Saccharomyces cerevisiae S288C: one gene and its partner. The gene in region 1 interacts genetically with each later gene. Each region holds a gene or a part of one and is shown on either strand. Other genes may lie near its edges.

Evidence for each region. Genes that interact genetically often act in the same process or in processes that back each other up.
Region 2: mutations in IAI11 (region 1) and SNQ2 together harm fitness more than expected from each alone (negative genetic interaction), as found in Saccharomyces cerevisiae (one large-scale study listed by BioGRID).

What each region holds. Positions count from the first base shown.
Region 1 is NC_001134.8:106,245-113,441, forward strand, and holds IAI11 (Iai11p), read left to right. Parts: upstream 1-4,349; coding exon 4,350-4,635; intron 4,636-4,704; coding exon 4,705-5,000; downstream 5,001-7,197. Other genes in the region: SKT5 (Skt5p), read right to left, coding at 1-1,162; Arf family guanine nucleotide exchange factor YEL1, read left to right, coding at 1,688-3,751; CMC2 (Cmc2p), read right to left, coding at 3,881-4,176, 4,262-4,295; protein phosphatase regulator SHP1, read left to right, coding at 5,193-6,464; PTH2 (aminoacyl-tRNA hydrolase), read right to left, coding at 6,557-7,183.
Region 2 is NC_001136.10:461,993-471,598, reverse strand, and holds SNQ2 (ATP-binding cassette transporter SNQ2), read right to left. Parts: upstream 5,681-9,606; coding exon 1,175-5,680; downstream 1-1,174. Other genes in the region: YDR010C (uncharacterized protein), read left to right, coding at 6,216-6,548; transcriptional regulator GAL3, read right to left, coding at 6,603-8,165; phosphoribosylanthranilate isomerase TRP1, read right to left, coding at 9,083-9,606. UniProt on the Saccharomyces cerevisiae protein: Could be an ATP-dependent permease. Confers hyper-resistance to the mutagens 4-nitroquinoline-N-oxide (4-NQO) and triaziquone, as well as to the chemicals sulphomethuron methyl phenanthroline when present in multiple copies.

The sequences.
Region 1 (7,197 bases):
CTGCGGCCGTCAACTCATTAGCTCTTGCTGCAGCCCTTGATAACCATTTTACCCCATTTAATTTAGTATTAACGTCGGTTGGAAGACCCATTCTGCCGTAGAATGAATAAAGTCCCAATTTATACATTGCTGAGGGATGATTCCTGCTAGCCGCAAACTTTAAAAAATTGACTGACTTACGAGAATCTCTTGTTGTTCCTAGTCCTTCTTCTAAGCAATGCGATGCTCTGTAAGCACTTTCTATATGACCATGCTTTGCAGCTGCTTGAAATAAGACAAATGCTTCTTTATTTTCAATCTTCCCAAATGCTCCGGATGAGTAGCCGTCCGCTAATAAGTATTGGGCATCTGAATAACCCTTTATGCTCAGTTTCTTCAAATAACTTTGCGCTTCTTTCAAAAACTGAAGTTTTAAGTCAGATTGGCTGACATTTCCTTCCTTGTCACTATCTTGAACAAGAGCATTGGAAGATTCAATAGTCAGTGCGGTTTGTAACATATATTGCGCATACTGGAATAACACTTCAGGATCTTTAGATTTTTTAACGTTTTGTCTATACATTTCTATTGTTTTTAGCCTTGGAACTAAGGAAGTATTATTTTTACCACCCAAATATCGACTGATCATCTGATGTGACAAATCTGCTACAGATTCATTAGTAGCCGTTAATTGGGTATCACTGCTACCATTCAACAGGTACATGTGAGACAAATCTACAGAACGAGTTCTTTTCTTTATTTGCTCCTTCGTAAGAGATGTACTCGAATTTGTCTGTCTTAATGCTCCCGGTGACGGAGAATTTGTAGGAGTACTTCCCAAAGAACTTAAGGAAGTATTATTTGAATTATTAAGATGAAGCTGTGGGGGTGGGACTGGAACGAAATCTTCCTCTTGACTATTGCCTATATCGTTTGATAGTAGAGGTACTGACGCAGCTCTAAGATGCTCATTGATAAGCGGTTGGTTTGCCGACCGCTTAGGAAGGTCTGCGGTACTGAAGTCTTCATTGTCCCTGTTTTCCCTATTCTCTTTATTATCTGAAAAATCTTGACCTACCTTCAACGAACTGTTTTGAAACTGTAGGCCCCTGTTATCAAAATTTATATGCTGTGATTGCATTAAATGCTTCTTATATGGATGTACCTGCGGTGAACTTGCCATTTTTTATCCTTTTATTTTAACTTTATCACCAAAAAAGACGAGAACCTGGTAGTATACAATGGAAGGCTTATTAACAGCAAGTCTAAAGTCAAGTGCCAACACCTAGTTTGTCTCTACTCTTAAATCTTACATCATCCTCGAGAGGGTCTGCAGAAAGAATTTTTCGTTCTTTTTTTAGCAAGTCAAAACGCGAAGTGAAACGTGGGAAAATATAACGATGACCTTTCTTAAAACATGCATGAAGACTCGTGAAAGTCATATGTACATATGTCGTATAGATTTGCAGATAGTTGCAACAAATAATTAGCGATTAGTTATGGCCTATACATGGCAGCTAAGTGCGATGGCATGTTCAAATGTATTATATTAAATCAAATGAACTTAAAATGCGATGTTTGGGTGCAAAATATCTATAGATGATAGAGACGGTTCATTGATCTTACGGATCAACTTTGAGATCAGTAAGGCTGACTAGATGGTACAATTTTGTGCAGTCAATGGACTATTAAGGGATCGCAAAGAGGTATGTGCGCCAGTTTAAACGAGGTAAAAAAGAATGACACCTATGGGGTCTCACAAAAGGGCTACAATGACAATTTCAGTGAAAGTGAGGGCGTCCTTCATGGTAGTAAGTCGATGCCCACTAGCATGAAAAATATGCTACAGTCTCCCACGATGGTCAACATGTGTGATATTTTACAAAACAAGGAAGCTGCTAATGACGAAAAACCTGTGATACCTACTACGGATACCGCCACTGCGGGGACTGGTACTGAAGATATTAGCTCCACTCAATCCGAGGAAACTGATCAGAATAGTCATCTTATTGCCTCAGAGATCTTGGAAGGCACTTTCAAAGATGTATCTTACAAGGAATATGCAAATTTCTTGGGAAACGATAACAATAATCAAGTCTTGACTGAGTTTGTAAAGTTATTGAGTCCTTTGCCGTCGTCACTATTAGAAACGCTTTTCAATTTATCGAAAAGTATATATTTCATTGCAGAAGCGCAAAATATCGACCGGATACTAGAGTGCTTGAGCATAGAATGGATAGCTTGCCACCCGAACACACATTGGAAGTCAGGCTATAAGTCATGTCATATAGTCTTATTTTCCCTGTTGATCCTTAATTCGGATTTGCACAACAACTTTCAAGTTGACCATAAAAAGATTAAGTTTTCCATGGTTGCATTTATCAACAATACACTGAGGGCACTAAGAGAGGAAAATGAATACGAAGAATTGAAAATATACTCCCGCGAACATTTGATCATCGAAGAACTTTCCGAATACTATAAAACGTTAAATGAAACGCCTTTACCGTTATGCACAGAATCTAGAACATCAATAAATATATCAGATAACCAATCTTCCTTGAAAAGGTTCTCTACTCTAGGATCACGGGAATTTAGTACATCAAATTTACGTAGTGTTAACTCTAATTCTACTACACTATATTCAAGAGATGGTCAAGTATCTGTACGAGAAATGAGCGCAAAATCAAATAAAAACTTTCACAATAATCACCCCATGGATGCACTCTACCTTAAAGAGTCTTTTGATGACGGTTTAATTACCGAAAACGGCTCCAGTTGGTTCATGGACGATTTAATTCTTATAAGCAAGAAATCTTTACCACGTAAATATTCTAAAAGAGACAAAGATCAAGTGGCGGCACCAAAAATGACCTCTAAGAGAAACAAATCGTTCTTCGGATGGCTAAAACCATCTAAAACGACTACACTTATTGAGCACACATCTAGAAGGACTTCTTTATCGTATTTGAATAAGGATTCTGAATGGGAGAGGGTGAAAATACAGGTCAAGGAGGGCAGAATTTTTATTTTCAAAATTAAACCAGATGTTAAGGATATCATCCAATCAAGTGAAACAGACAGTGCTACCATCGACTATTTCAAAGATATCAGTAGCTCTTATTTTGCTTACTCACTGCTTGAAGCTGAAGCACATGTCGTGCAAGATAATATAATTATAGGTAGTGGAGCAATGAAATCAAATGTGTGTAACAAAAACACCAAGAGGAAAAGTGGCAACTTTACCGTTAGTTTTCCAGAGAATATCAACGGACCAAAGCTTGTTCTGGAGTTCCAGACGAGAAGTGTTGAAGAAGCCCACAAGTTTATGGACTGTATCAACTTCTGGGCAGGTAGGATTTCTCCAGTTCCTTTAACACAATTCGAAGCCGTATCTAACGCAGAATATGGATGGAGTGACAAGATCTTGACAGAGCACGCTTCCCTCAATCTTAAAAATATTGTTGTAAGTGAATGGAAGCCACTATTGGGGCTAGAGCTACTATACGAAGATGCGAAAGATGTAGAGATGGTCGAACTAAAAGAAAGGCTAAAGGAATTGATGAACTTCACCAGACAGCTTGGTATATGGATAGATAAACATAACGAAATAAAGGATAAGCTGGTCGAAATTTGGAGCTTTGACGATAACTATTTTGAAGCAGTCATGAATAATTGGAATTCGAGATATTTGTATATGAATAATCAATATAAGAAACGACTGAGCTACTTGAAAGCTTTGCAAAAAGCCATGGGTTCTGTTCAGTTCTAAGTATATTTAAAGATATAAATATAAAGACTGCGCTGAAGAAATATAAACTTGAAAACTGTACTCTGCCTTTTATTTACAAGGGATATTGAGATGATTTGTGTGAATGAAGTAGCGACAGAAAAAAAGCTTTTATTTCGAGTTCGCATCATTGTCACTTTCCTGCTTTTTCTTGGCGTACTGTCTATCTAAGATAGTCTTTAATATAGCGTCCTCGCCATATTCTTCTTCCTCAATTTTCTTCCATCTCTTTTCTACATCAGCTCTCTTTATTCTACTTTCAATGACAGCACGTTTCTTGTTATTCAAACTTGCCTCCTTGAGACACTTGTTCAAAGCATCCTTTTCGTTGTTACAAAGGCCAAATATTCTCTTGTAATATTCCTTTTGATGGCATTTATCGAGTGCATTGATGAAGTCCAAACAGGCTAAAATGAAGAAGGGGAGAATACAATGTTAGTAAGTCGGAGCACAGAAAAAGGCAAATATATGAAGTAAAATCTGGATACTTACAATGAAAACGTTCAGCTTCTAACTGTGGATGCATGTTGTAGTACTTGTCTTATCTTGCTTTTGTTCAACTGCACTTGTAAATCAGTGAATGTTATTGGACGCGCAGCGATTTTTTAATAGGTCTTTCTCTATTAATGTAATATGCGAATTGAAACATAATGTAAACACAAGAAGAAAATTCGAAATAAAGGACTGGCCAACAATAATGTTAGTGAGCAGAAACGACAAGCCCAAAATCAGTAGTGAGGAAGTCACACATTTTATAGACGACTATAAAAAGAGGAGGAAAACTCAGATGACACGATTCTTCGGAATCACTATTTTTACACTTATAACATGTAGAATTGCCATGAAGAAAATGATAACTGCAAAAGGTATGCATAGGCAATAACTTCGGCCTCATACTCAAAGAACACGTTTACTAACATAACTTATTTACATAGTGCCATTGAACACTTTTCAAGCAAACTACGCCAGCCGGACGCAGACAATAACACACACACAAAAGAGTCTTGCAGGTTCTCTTTTAGCGGCAACGGGCATGACACTAGGTATATTTGGTATGGGCATCACAGGGACATGTTGGAGCTGGGATGTTTCATCATTTCAGGAACTAAAGCAACGTCTGGAAAGGCGTGCCAACAACGAATTTGTAGTGACAAACATGCCTCTGGATAAAAGAAGCCAGCAAGTAGTGGACAGCTTAGTTAAGACACACAATTCATCTCTTTGTAAATAGTGTTATACCATAGTAGTAGTTTCAATAATATATTCCACTACTTATATGTGTTACCCGCATTAGAACTCTTATTGGTGGCGAAAATCGATGGCAATAAAGAACGGAAGGGGTTTAATAGTTGTATGCTTAACATATTTCGATTTAAATATATAAGAAACGTCGGTAGCACAACAATTAACTCATTATTTAGGTATGGCGGAAATACCTGATGAAACCATCCAGCAGTTCATGGCATTGACCAATGTGTCGCATAACATAGCCGTTCAATATCTCTCTGAATTTGGAGATTTAAATGAAGCACTAAATTCCTATTATGCTTCTCAAACGGATGACCAAAAGGATAGAAGAGAGGAAGCACATTGGAACAGACAGCAGGAGAAGGCCCTCAAGCAAGAAGCCTTCTCCACCAACTCTTCGAATAAAGCCATAAATACGGAGCACGTTGGTGGGTTATGTCCAAAACCAGGATCCTCACAAGGTAGCAACGAGTACTTGAAAAGGAAAGGTTCTACCTCTCCTGAACCAACCAAGGGTAGTAGCCGCTCTGGAAGTGGTAACAACTCCAGGTTTATGAGCTTTTCGGATATGGTAAGAGGTCAAGCTGATGATGACGATGAAGATCAACCGAGAAATACTTTTGCTGGTGGTGAAACATCCGGCTTAGAGGTTACAGATCCTTCAGATCCTAATTCATTACTGAAGGATTTGCTGGAAAAAGCGAGAAGGGGTGGTCAAATGGGCGCTGAAAACGGATTCCGTGATGACGAAGACCATGAAATGGGTGCCAATAGGTTTACTGGAAGAGGTTTTAGATTAGGGTCAACCATCGACGCAGCAGATGAAGTCGTAGAAGACAACACTTCACAATCACAACGTAGACCAGAAAAAGTCACAAGAGAAATTACATTTTGGAAGGAAGGTTTTCAAGTGGCCGATGGTCCGCTTTATCGCTATGATGATCCTGCGAACAGTTTCTATTTGAGCGAGTTAAATCAAGGGAGGGCTCCATTAAAGCTCTTAGATGTGCAATTTGGACAAGAAGTTGAAGTTAATGTATATAAAAAATTAGATGAGTCTTATAAAGCTCCGACGAGAAAACTGGGCGGTTTTTCAGGCCAGGGCCAAAGACTAGGATCTCCTATCCCGGGTGAATCGTCACCTGCGGAGGTTCCAAAGAATGAGACACCCGCTGCTCAGGAACAACCCATGCCGGACAATGAGCCAAAACAAGGCGACACCTCCATCCAAATTAGATACGCAAATGGCAAAAGAGAAGTTTTGCACTGCAATTCCACAGATACAGTAAAGTTTTTGTATGAGCATGTGACATCAAATGCGAACACTGACCCATCGAGGAATTTCACCTTGAATTATGCCTTTCCTATCAAACCAATAAGCAACGATGAGACAACATTGAAGGACGCTGATCTGCTGAACTCCGTTGTCGTGCAAAGATGGGCATGAGCATAAATATACAAAAACAGAAACGGGAAAAGACTTCAACTTAATATATAAATGCACGTATATCTATACCCGTAGTATATATCATTTGTACCTCAATACAATTTCAAATCACCTGTTATTTGATCCAATACTGCTTTTGGAGCAGGTCCTAAACCCAATACGGTGGCACTTCCCGCAGCAATCTGTGTTCTACCAGCATCATGAATAACTGCTGCATTCACCCCAAGTGATATAGCCTTCGCATACAACTCGTCCATTGTAAACTTATCTGGACATTTCAACGTTATTTTAGCCTGTCCAGCATTTAGCCATCTTTGTGTCATAATTGGGTTGTATGAAGCACGCGCGGGGTTTGTAGCAATATGTCTAAAACATGACAATGCTGCGTGACAGCATTGTGCCGCTATTTTGCCCTTTGTCATGCCAAGATCTTGACGAATCACCAATGCCATCCTAACTTCTCCAGGTATATCATTCAATGAAGTGGACTCAATATCTTCGTCCTCATCGCTCTCATCTTCGCTTTCACTTTCCTCCTCATCAGTGTCATTGTGTAGCTTTCCTTCCTTCATTTCTTTAGAACGCAGTAAAGTAGCTGAGGATTTCTTAGTTGATGATGCGTTCGACGTACCCAACTGGTAACCCACGGCAAAGGAGATTGCGGTGAAAGTAGCCCATAAAGCTATGGTGTAATTCGAAGAAACTGTCATCTTTTCCATTAAAAAGACGTTAT
Region 2 (9,606 bases), on another chromosome or scaffold:
TAATTCAGATACGCTGAGGAAAGCGCTTCTAAATTGTTATTTTCCCATTTGTTCCAATCTATCAAAACTAACGTTATCTATATTCAAAAATTCCTGTAAGATGAATACCGTTACGATAAATAAGGCAGGACTTACGGAACATGTAGGGTCCGGATAAGGGTTGCTTTATTGCGAAATGTTCTTATAGTGCAACCCTTAATAGAGTTATGAAAACTTTTCATAAAACAGAAAATTTTTATCACTCTTTTCAACCAAGCTGTCGAATGAACTATGCAGAAAAAAAGAATAATAAAAAATTACAATTTGGTAATTGGGAGAGGTCGCTGCATGCACTTCTTAAGACAAAAATAAGTTTACTCATTTTCTAAGTTGGTCAGCTGTAATCTATCGTGGTCATTTCTTGTTCTCACTTCTTTCGAATATTATTTCTGAAAAATACTGCTGCAATATAGTATATGTTGTTCAATCACAAAGCTCCAGGGTATGACTTGCCACAATAGTGATTTGCAAATATAAGCAGACATTAGTGGGCAAGTTAACCGTTTAGCAACACTATTGTTTCTACTGGATGTCTTTCCTTTGAGTAATATAGAATGACCTTCCTAAATAGAATAAGACACAGAAACTGTGGTATGGAGGCTGTTGTTTTCCTGTGTCCAATTTTTTTATTTTCTTTTGTCTAAAGAAGGGACAGGACAGGTAAGGGTTGACAGGCCAGATAATTTACCAAGTTTTGTTAATCATATGAAAGGGATATAAAAATGAAACAAAATAGAAAAAATGTAGAAACACTAAATTTGAAGTTCAATTTTGGTGACCAGTTTGAGGAGCCTCAGTTTTTTTGTCTTATTCTTTTCGTTTAGCTTGTACTTGCAACACCTTGCTTAGATCGTAATCCAATATTTTGAGTCGAAACCCAAGGGTAAAATAAACTTTTTTACTCAACAAGACTTGACTTTTGAAAACTACGAGAGTTATACACAATGTAACTATTAACATGGTAATACAAGACTTTTTTTTTGTATCTATTATAAACTATACTTATTGTTAATTATATGAATGTCAGTATAAAAGTGAAACGAGATGTACTCGTGTCTTCTTCTATAGTGTAAAATGAGAATTAAGAATTAAAGGCAGATGAATGCACAAAATGTTAAGTTATCTGAAGCCCACATTACTGCTTCTTTTTCCTTATGTTTTTAATTTTATTGAGTATAGATACGGGGCTTAGGAAGGAAGATTGTCTTACATGGAAGAGGTAATACACACAAACCATAGCAATGATATTGAAGAAAATGTAAATCCAAAATATTCCAAAATTTCTCCACAAGTAGCTATACTTAGAGCTGATATGTGTCAAATAATTATCTCCAACTTCGTAAATACAGTATGCACAATCTGACGTAGCATCAGGATTTTCGATGTAACCAGTAGCTTTTTCCAAAAAGGGTTTCATGTACTCTCCACACGTTGAGCCGTTTGGTGGGTTGAAGTAGTTTAGTTCTTTCTTTTTGCATACGACTGGTTTTTTGTGCAGCATAATTCCGACCAGATTCTGAACAAAATATGTGTATGGGGAAGCCTTCCACATGAATGTCCAGAAGCCAGGCATCAATGAGACAGGTTGTGTAACACCACAGAAAGAAAGCATAAATGACAGACACAAACCTAAGATAACATTAGCGGATGGAAGGTTCGGTGACATATATAGGATCATTAAGCCAAGACCAACATAGTATAACTGGAACATAATGCAGTAATTCAAAAAGTACACCGCAGATCTTGACGCTTCGAAGAAGATTCTTAATGGAAAATACGATGAGACAAAGAAAATTGTCGAAAAAAATAAATGATAGGGAAGTTCGCTCAAGTACTGAGTGATCAACACCAGCGACCAGTGAAACATGTTAGATTGGGATTCCCTAACTTCAAAAAGTTCTCTGGAGGCAATAGCACGTCCTTGGATTTGGTTCATTGCAGGAGCAGACAAGATAATAGAGATAAATGCCGCGAACATCGCATTTTGTAAGCCGACATAACTTTTACCAACATTGAAAAATGTGAAACCAATATACAGACCACCAACCAGCATTAGCATCATCTTTGACATGATGTAATTCAGACTTCTCCAAAATGAAGTAGAGGTTCTGATTAAAACATATCTGAACTGGTAAGCATAAGAAGTAGCATATTTGGAAGGTTTGTCTCCAACTTCGGATTTAGTTTCTTGTTTCGATAAATCATTTATTAAATCCTGTACTTTTTCTTTTGTTTGTTCAAACTCGACAGAGTTCAACCATTTTTCGTGCCAGTCTTCTTTGACGGATGCTGTGGCACCGGCACCAATAGCCTCTAAAATATATTCAGCAGGATTTTCACTAGAATCACATTTTCTTGCCCCATTCCTTTCAAAGTAGTTCAAAATGGTGGCAGAGTTCTTACCAATATCTCCGAAATAAACAGTTTGTCCACCCTTCCTCAAAAGTAGTAATCTATCAAACTCTTCGAACAGAGTAGCTGAAGGTTGATGGATCGTACAAAGAATGGATTGGCCAGCTTTTGATAACTTTCTTAATAATTGAATAATGGCCCATGAAGATTGAGAATCCAAACCTGATGTAGGTTCATCGAGGAATAATAATAAGTCTGGTTTGGCGACTAGTTCAACACCAATAGACAGCTTCTTTCTCTGTTCAACGTTTAAACCACAACCAACCTCACCAACAAGGGCTTCCGCATACTCTTCCATTCCCAAAACTCTGATGATTTTTTCCACATAATCCATTTTTTCAGAATCAGGCAAATGCTGAGGGCGACGCATACGAGCAGAAAACTGCAACGATTCCCTAACAGTTAACTCTGCGATATGTATATCCTGTTGTTGTACATAACCTGTACGCCTTTCGAAACTCGCATCAATGGGACGTCCATTGACAAGCATATCACCAGTAATGATACCGACATTTCTTTGAGCAAGAGTATTTAACAAAGTTGTTTTACCAGCACCTGACTCTCCCATCAAGGCCGTCATGGTACCTGGAATACAATAACCTGAAACATTATCCAAAAGCATTCTCTTACCGCCTTCATATGGAATAGTAAAGCATACGTCCTTCCAAATGAAAACACCTTTGGCTTCTAAATCATCAAATACTTCATCATTTGCGCCGCTACTTTCACTGGAGAATTGCTCTTTGGCATCTATATCATTGACATTGTCTGGAGATTCTTCATCTGCATGTGCGATAAATCTTTTTGATCCTTTCTTGAAGATAAGAGCATCACCACCACCTTTCACAGGCCTCTTATATTCTGTGAATATCACTTTCAAAACAACATAACCCAGTAAAAAGCACCACAAGATACCAAAGTTTCTCCACGTGTGCTTATAAACGTACTGAAATTGATTTTTAAGGTAGTCATCACCAAGCACATAAGACTGACCTGGTTTCGAACCAACAAAAGCACATACTTTGTAGTCATCGGATAAATTATCATAGTCTCCTCCACTGGGTACTAGAGTGTTAGCACAATCCATATGCCTACCGTGAAATTCGGCATTTAACATCGACTCGAAGGCGTACCTGATAGGTAGTACGTACGATATCCATTTAAACCATGGATGCATCGAAGGCAATTGGATCATATAGGTAGAGTACATTGAGATAGACATCATCAGAATACCCGAGATAGAGTTAGCTTGAGAAAGAGTGTCACATACTGAAGAAACCATCTCAAATAAACCATTGATCGCCTCTGAACACATGGTTAAGAACAAATAGATGGTAAAAAATGATCCCGCTGTTCTGTGCAACCCAGATAGGAAGAATAAAATGATAAAGAAACAGGTCAAACCAATCATTCTGAAGGGGAAAGATGCCAGAGTGGAGCCAATTGCCTCAGCTGAAGGATGATACAAAGAATAGCCCTTGTGCTTTTGTAAGATTGGCCTATGTTCAAAAGAAATATTCGCCAGTCCCATCAAAGAATAATATAGTAGCGCAAAATACAACACACCACCTCTTGAAAAAGCACCGGAAGTGGATGAAGGGGTATTGTAAAATAATGATCCAGTAATAAAAGATTGAATTATTGCAGAGCAGACATTGATGACTGTATAACTCTTGTTACCGTAAATTCTTTGGAACCCACGTTGGGTACACAGTTTAACTTGTTCCCAATATGACACTGTATAATAAGACTTCTTTCTCGTATATTTGGATTTCTCTTGAGCCATCGATTCGTCATAAACTTCTTTAGTCTTTTCGGTATTGACCTTCTCTTTATAAGCAGCGATATCTTTTTTCATTTGAGCAAACTCTGGAGAATTTAACCAATATGTTTCGAATTCCTCAGCGGTTCTTGGTACTTTATTTTCATAACCTGGCTTGATCAGATGGAATCCATTTGGATCAGTCAACGCGGTTAAAAATTCAGCTGTTGCTTGCCTTGGAGGACACAAATAACCCATTTTTGCGAAATAAGGTTTTGCCTCGTGGATCAAACCAAAATAAATTTGCTTACCAGAATAAAGGACAGTGACTTTATCAAATGTTTCGTAAATGTTTTCACTTGCCTGATAAATTGTAACAAAAGCGGTTGATTTCAATAAGTTTGTCATAATACGGATGGCTTTTGCGTATTCTAAGGCCGTAGACGCATCCAAACCTCTAGTGGCATTATCCCAACAGTAAATGGAACCTTTGGCTGCCAAAGCCTCGGCAATGGAAACACGCTTACGTTCACCACCAGATACACCTCTAACGAAATCGTTACCAACTTTGGTATTATAGGTATGCCTTAGACCGAAAATGGTTGCATATAAATCTCTTCTGGATGCAATGTATTCCTTTTTGGAAACGTTATTGACTCTGAGAGCAGGCGTTTTGCAGGCAATAGCGAAATCCAAAGTTTGCTTAACTGTTAAATAAGGGAAATGAACATCCAACTCACCATTGTAAATAACATCTGCTTTATATCGTTTCATCATTTCTTCTTGGGGAATACCATCATATGCTACTTCACCGGAAACACCACCGGCAAACTGATCTATTTCACCAGCTGTTACTTTTAAAAAGGAGGAACAACCAGCACCAGGCCTTCCAAGAACCAAAATCATTTCACCCGCTTCTGCCAGGGCATTGACATTGCTTATGATCTGTCTCATCTTTTGATGCCTCTTAGCCTTAATACCTTTAAAGATGGTCAACGGTAAACAAAGAATGTTACCAAAGGTAGCACCTTCTAGGGCACTCGCATCCACACCTTTAGCGCTTACGTCCTCTATGGTAACACCAGCCTTGCGGATATGGATGCCTTGCTCATCAGCGTCTCTTACAAAACTTTCAAAGATGGCATGGGCATCGAACCCATCGTCACTATCTGAATCCATATTAAAGGCACCGCTTCTCGTTGTATGACGGGATAGTGCATCTGCAAATGACTCCACTTTAGATACGACATCTGGCGCCATTTCAGACACAGTGGCACTAATCTGGCTCGCAGTGTCTCTTGCAGGTCCTGTCAGCATTTTTGTTAGTTTATCCGCCGGGGTATCGCTCTGCTCATCTTTGTCATGGGTTATGCCCGTAAATGATTCTTCTGAAGCTGCAAAAGAAGCGCTTGAGCTTCTAGCGACAGCATTATGAGAGCTATCTTGCGTGCTTTTGATATTGCTCATTGAATTCTCTTTACGTATTTTGGTAGCTGTGTTATTCTATCCACTTTTTTACTGCTTTCGGTCTTCGATATAGTTTTTCTTTTTTTATGTCTCTGCGGGTACGTCCGCTATACCTTCGTTTTCTCAGGGAGCTTGAACTCTAATCAATGGAAGGAGAAAATAATCAATGTTGAAGACGATGGATGCACTGAGAATGTAATGCACTGGTGATATAGTAACTCCTATATCCTACAGTGAGCTTTTTTTTTTTTGACCTCGCAACACTTCAACTTGAAAAACAAAAGATACAAATACACTAGGTTCGTATATATTGTTTTCGTTAGGTATTTATTTATCTACAAGCATATACAAGCATAAAAAGTGGTGAGGCGATAGCGGTGAGGGAGGGGCACTACTCATCATTTGTTTTATATGTTGATGTTGCGTAGTCACTATTAGTAATACCAATACCCAGCGGGGTTGCAGGGAATACAATGGAAAGACCTAAAGAAAATAGAAAACGGATTTAAACGGAAATGGGCGGACATTTAGTCATATGTGCGCGGAACCAGACGACTGGGAAAGGATCGAAAGGCATCCGCGGAAACTTAAAATAGCTCCGCGGATGCTAGATTTCTACGAGTCATACATAGTCTGGCGTGAAGGTAATTTTTTTTTATGTCTCCGTTCTTTTCCAAATGGGGTGATCCGTGGAGGGCGGTGCTTCTTTCGCGCCACTTCCTTGCCGTGGAAAAATGTGTACGGTTACCATGGTCACATAACCTCTGTGTGCGGAGCCACTCTGACTCGCATCAACCGGGCTATGGTTGCATCGGATGCTGGAATGGGTTCTATTGGACTCACCAACTTGTTTCTTTATAGAGTGTAAGAGGTATGAGTAAACTTTTAATATTTAAAGGTTGTTCCAAGAAGGTGTTTAGTGTTATTGTTCGTACAAACAAGTACCCAAGGCAGGCTTCGAAACTATAATTGCGTCTTTTAGTTCTTCATCTGTGAGATCCGGATATCTTACATTGTAGAATTTTTCGATTAGTGCTTTTCGTACCTGTTCCACGTTCCCATTAGCGCCACTAGGAACAAGGTGGATAGTGCAACCGCCCCAACCAGCGCCAGTGAGACGGGAGCCGAAAGAACCATTTGCTAGGGCAATCGAGCATATTTGATTGGTTTCTATGCACGAACATTCATAAAGTTTATCACAAGAGGCCTGGGACTCATTCATTAGTCGGCCAAAATCTGTAAAGAAATCTTCGTCCGTGTGAAAAGTGGCACTTGTCATCATTTTTAAAGCCTTAAGCACCCTTAAGGATTCGGAGTAAACGTGTTTAGCTCTTTGATATAGTTTCAAGACTTGGAAGCGGACGGGAAAAGTTGTCAGGTAATCTCTAGTGAACTCCTCACGTGAACAGTTTAGCGCCGTAGAGGCTTCATGTACAGTGAATCCGCTCTTTTTCCTCGAGAAAGATTCTTCTACCAATTGTAGCATCTTGAGTAAACGTTCAATACCAGTTCCGATATCTCCATTCCATGGTTGGGCTTGGTTTTCGTATCTGGCGTAGTAAGCATCCATAAAATCTCTTAGATTCCCTCTTTCTGAGTTAGAATTGTCCTTGTGAGATGGTAAGGCCACGCTGTATCTGGTCGCCAAGGCGTTGGCAGCAACTGTTACCTCTATTACTCTTAAATTGTAATTTGTAGGAGCAGTTTCGAATTTATTAGACTTTACAAGAGTATTGGCGATGACGAAACTGATTTCATGATTTTTCAATTGAGGAAACTTGAAAGGTGTGGCCTTTAGTTTTGGCCTAAACTCTACGTATAGAGCATGATCTTCTTCCCCATAAACAGACGTTGCTTGATCCATACCACCATTATTGACTCCAACATAGTGCTCAGCAACCGCTGTGATGCGGGTCAAGTCTTTTTTGGAAATATCAAAATTTTTTCCCATATTGGCTCTAATTGTGGCTAGTGCTGCCGCGCAAGTAAATGCAGATGAGAGTCCACCACCAGTAGGAATATCGCTCTGGCAAAAGATCTGCGCACCTACTAAGGGTGTATTATTAAATCTTTCCGGAGCAATTTTTTTCAAGTATGAATGTGCCACATGTAGTCCGCATTTAAAGTAATTCGACCATTCCGACACAGACGGATCTATGGCCATGTAGGAACCATCTAAAGGCAGATCAAACTTTCGCTGAGCAAATTTAGGGTCCGCATTTGTTAAGGTAATGGATGGATTTTTTTCGTCTAAAATTTTAACTGCGCAAAGCATATCCACATCAATGGCTAATGGCAAAACTGAAAAATCGCAATAATCTATATGCTCACCAATCAGATTTACTCTGCCAGGAGACCTAGCGATAAAATCAGGTTTGACATGGTATGTTTGGAAAAATGCATCTACAACCGCTAAATGTTTTTGTTCGAAAGACCTTGGTAAATCTCTGACCGGAGAACTGAATATTGGAACGTTTGTATTCATACTATGTGTTGCCCTACCTTTTTACTTTTATTTTCTCTTTTTGCACTCCTGATTCCGCTAATAGGAAGTATGAATACCTGGGGTTGTCAATGTGGTAACAAAGGTGTTGCCTCACTTGTCGCTTATGATGATTATATACGTTTCAGTAAAAATTTTACTGCCTATGTGTTGCAGGCGGTCAATCAATTGCATAAAAGACCGTGTGATGGCTTGGCATGGCGATTTCATTCTTTCAAGAATTCCACATGTTAAAATAGTGAAGGAGCATGTTCGGCACACAGTGGACCGAACGTGGGGTAAGTGCACTAGGGTCCGGTTAAACGGATCTCGCATTGATGAGGCAACGCTAATTATCAACATATAGATTGTTATCTATCTGCATGAACACGAAATCTTTACTTGACGACTTGAGGCTGATGGTGTTTATGCAAAGAAACCACTGTGTTTAATATGTGTCACTGTTTGATATTACTGTCAGCGTAGAAGATAATAGTAAAAGCGGTTAATAAGTGTATTTGAGATAAGTGTGATAAAGTTTTTACAGCGAAAAGACGATAAATACAAGAAAATGATTACGAGGATACGGAGAGAGGTATGTACATGTGTATTTATATACTAAGCTGCCGGCGGTTGTTTGCAAGACCGAGAAAAGGCTAGCAAGAATCGGGTCATTGTAGCGTATGCGCCTGTGAACATTCTCTTCAACAAGTTTGATTCCATTGCGGTGAAATGGTAAAAGTCAACCCCCTGCGATGTATATTTTCCTGTACAATCAATCAAAAAGCCAAATGATTTAGCATTATCTTTACATCTTGTTATTTTACAGATTTTATGTTTAGATCTTTTATGCTTGCTTTTCAAAAGGCCTGCAGGCAAGTGCACAAACAATACTTAAATAAATACTACTCAGTAATAACCTATTTCTTAGCATTTTTGACGAAATTTGCTATTTTGTTAGAGTCTTTTACACCATTTGTCTCCACACCTCCGCTTACATCAACACCAATAACGCCATTTAATCTAAGCGCATCACCAACATTTTCTGGCGTCAGTCCACCAGCTAACATAAAATGTAAGCTTTCGGGGCTCTCTTGCCTTCCAACCCAGTCAGAAATCGAGTTCCAATCCAAAAGTTCACCTGTCCCACCTGCTTCTGAATCAAACAAGGGAATAAACGAATGAGGTTTCTGTGAAGCTGCACTGAGTAGTATGTTGCAGTCTTTTGGAAATACGAGTCTTTTAATAACTGGCAAACCGAGGAACTCTTGGTATTCTTGCCACGACTCATCTCCATGCAGTTGGACGATATCAATGCCGTAATCATTGACCAGAGCCAAAACATCCTCCTTAGGTTGATTACGAAACACGCCAACCAAGTATTTCGGAGTGCCTGAACTATTTTTATATGCTTTTACAAGACTTGAAATTTTCCTTGCAATAA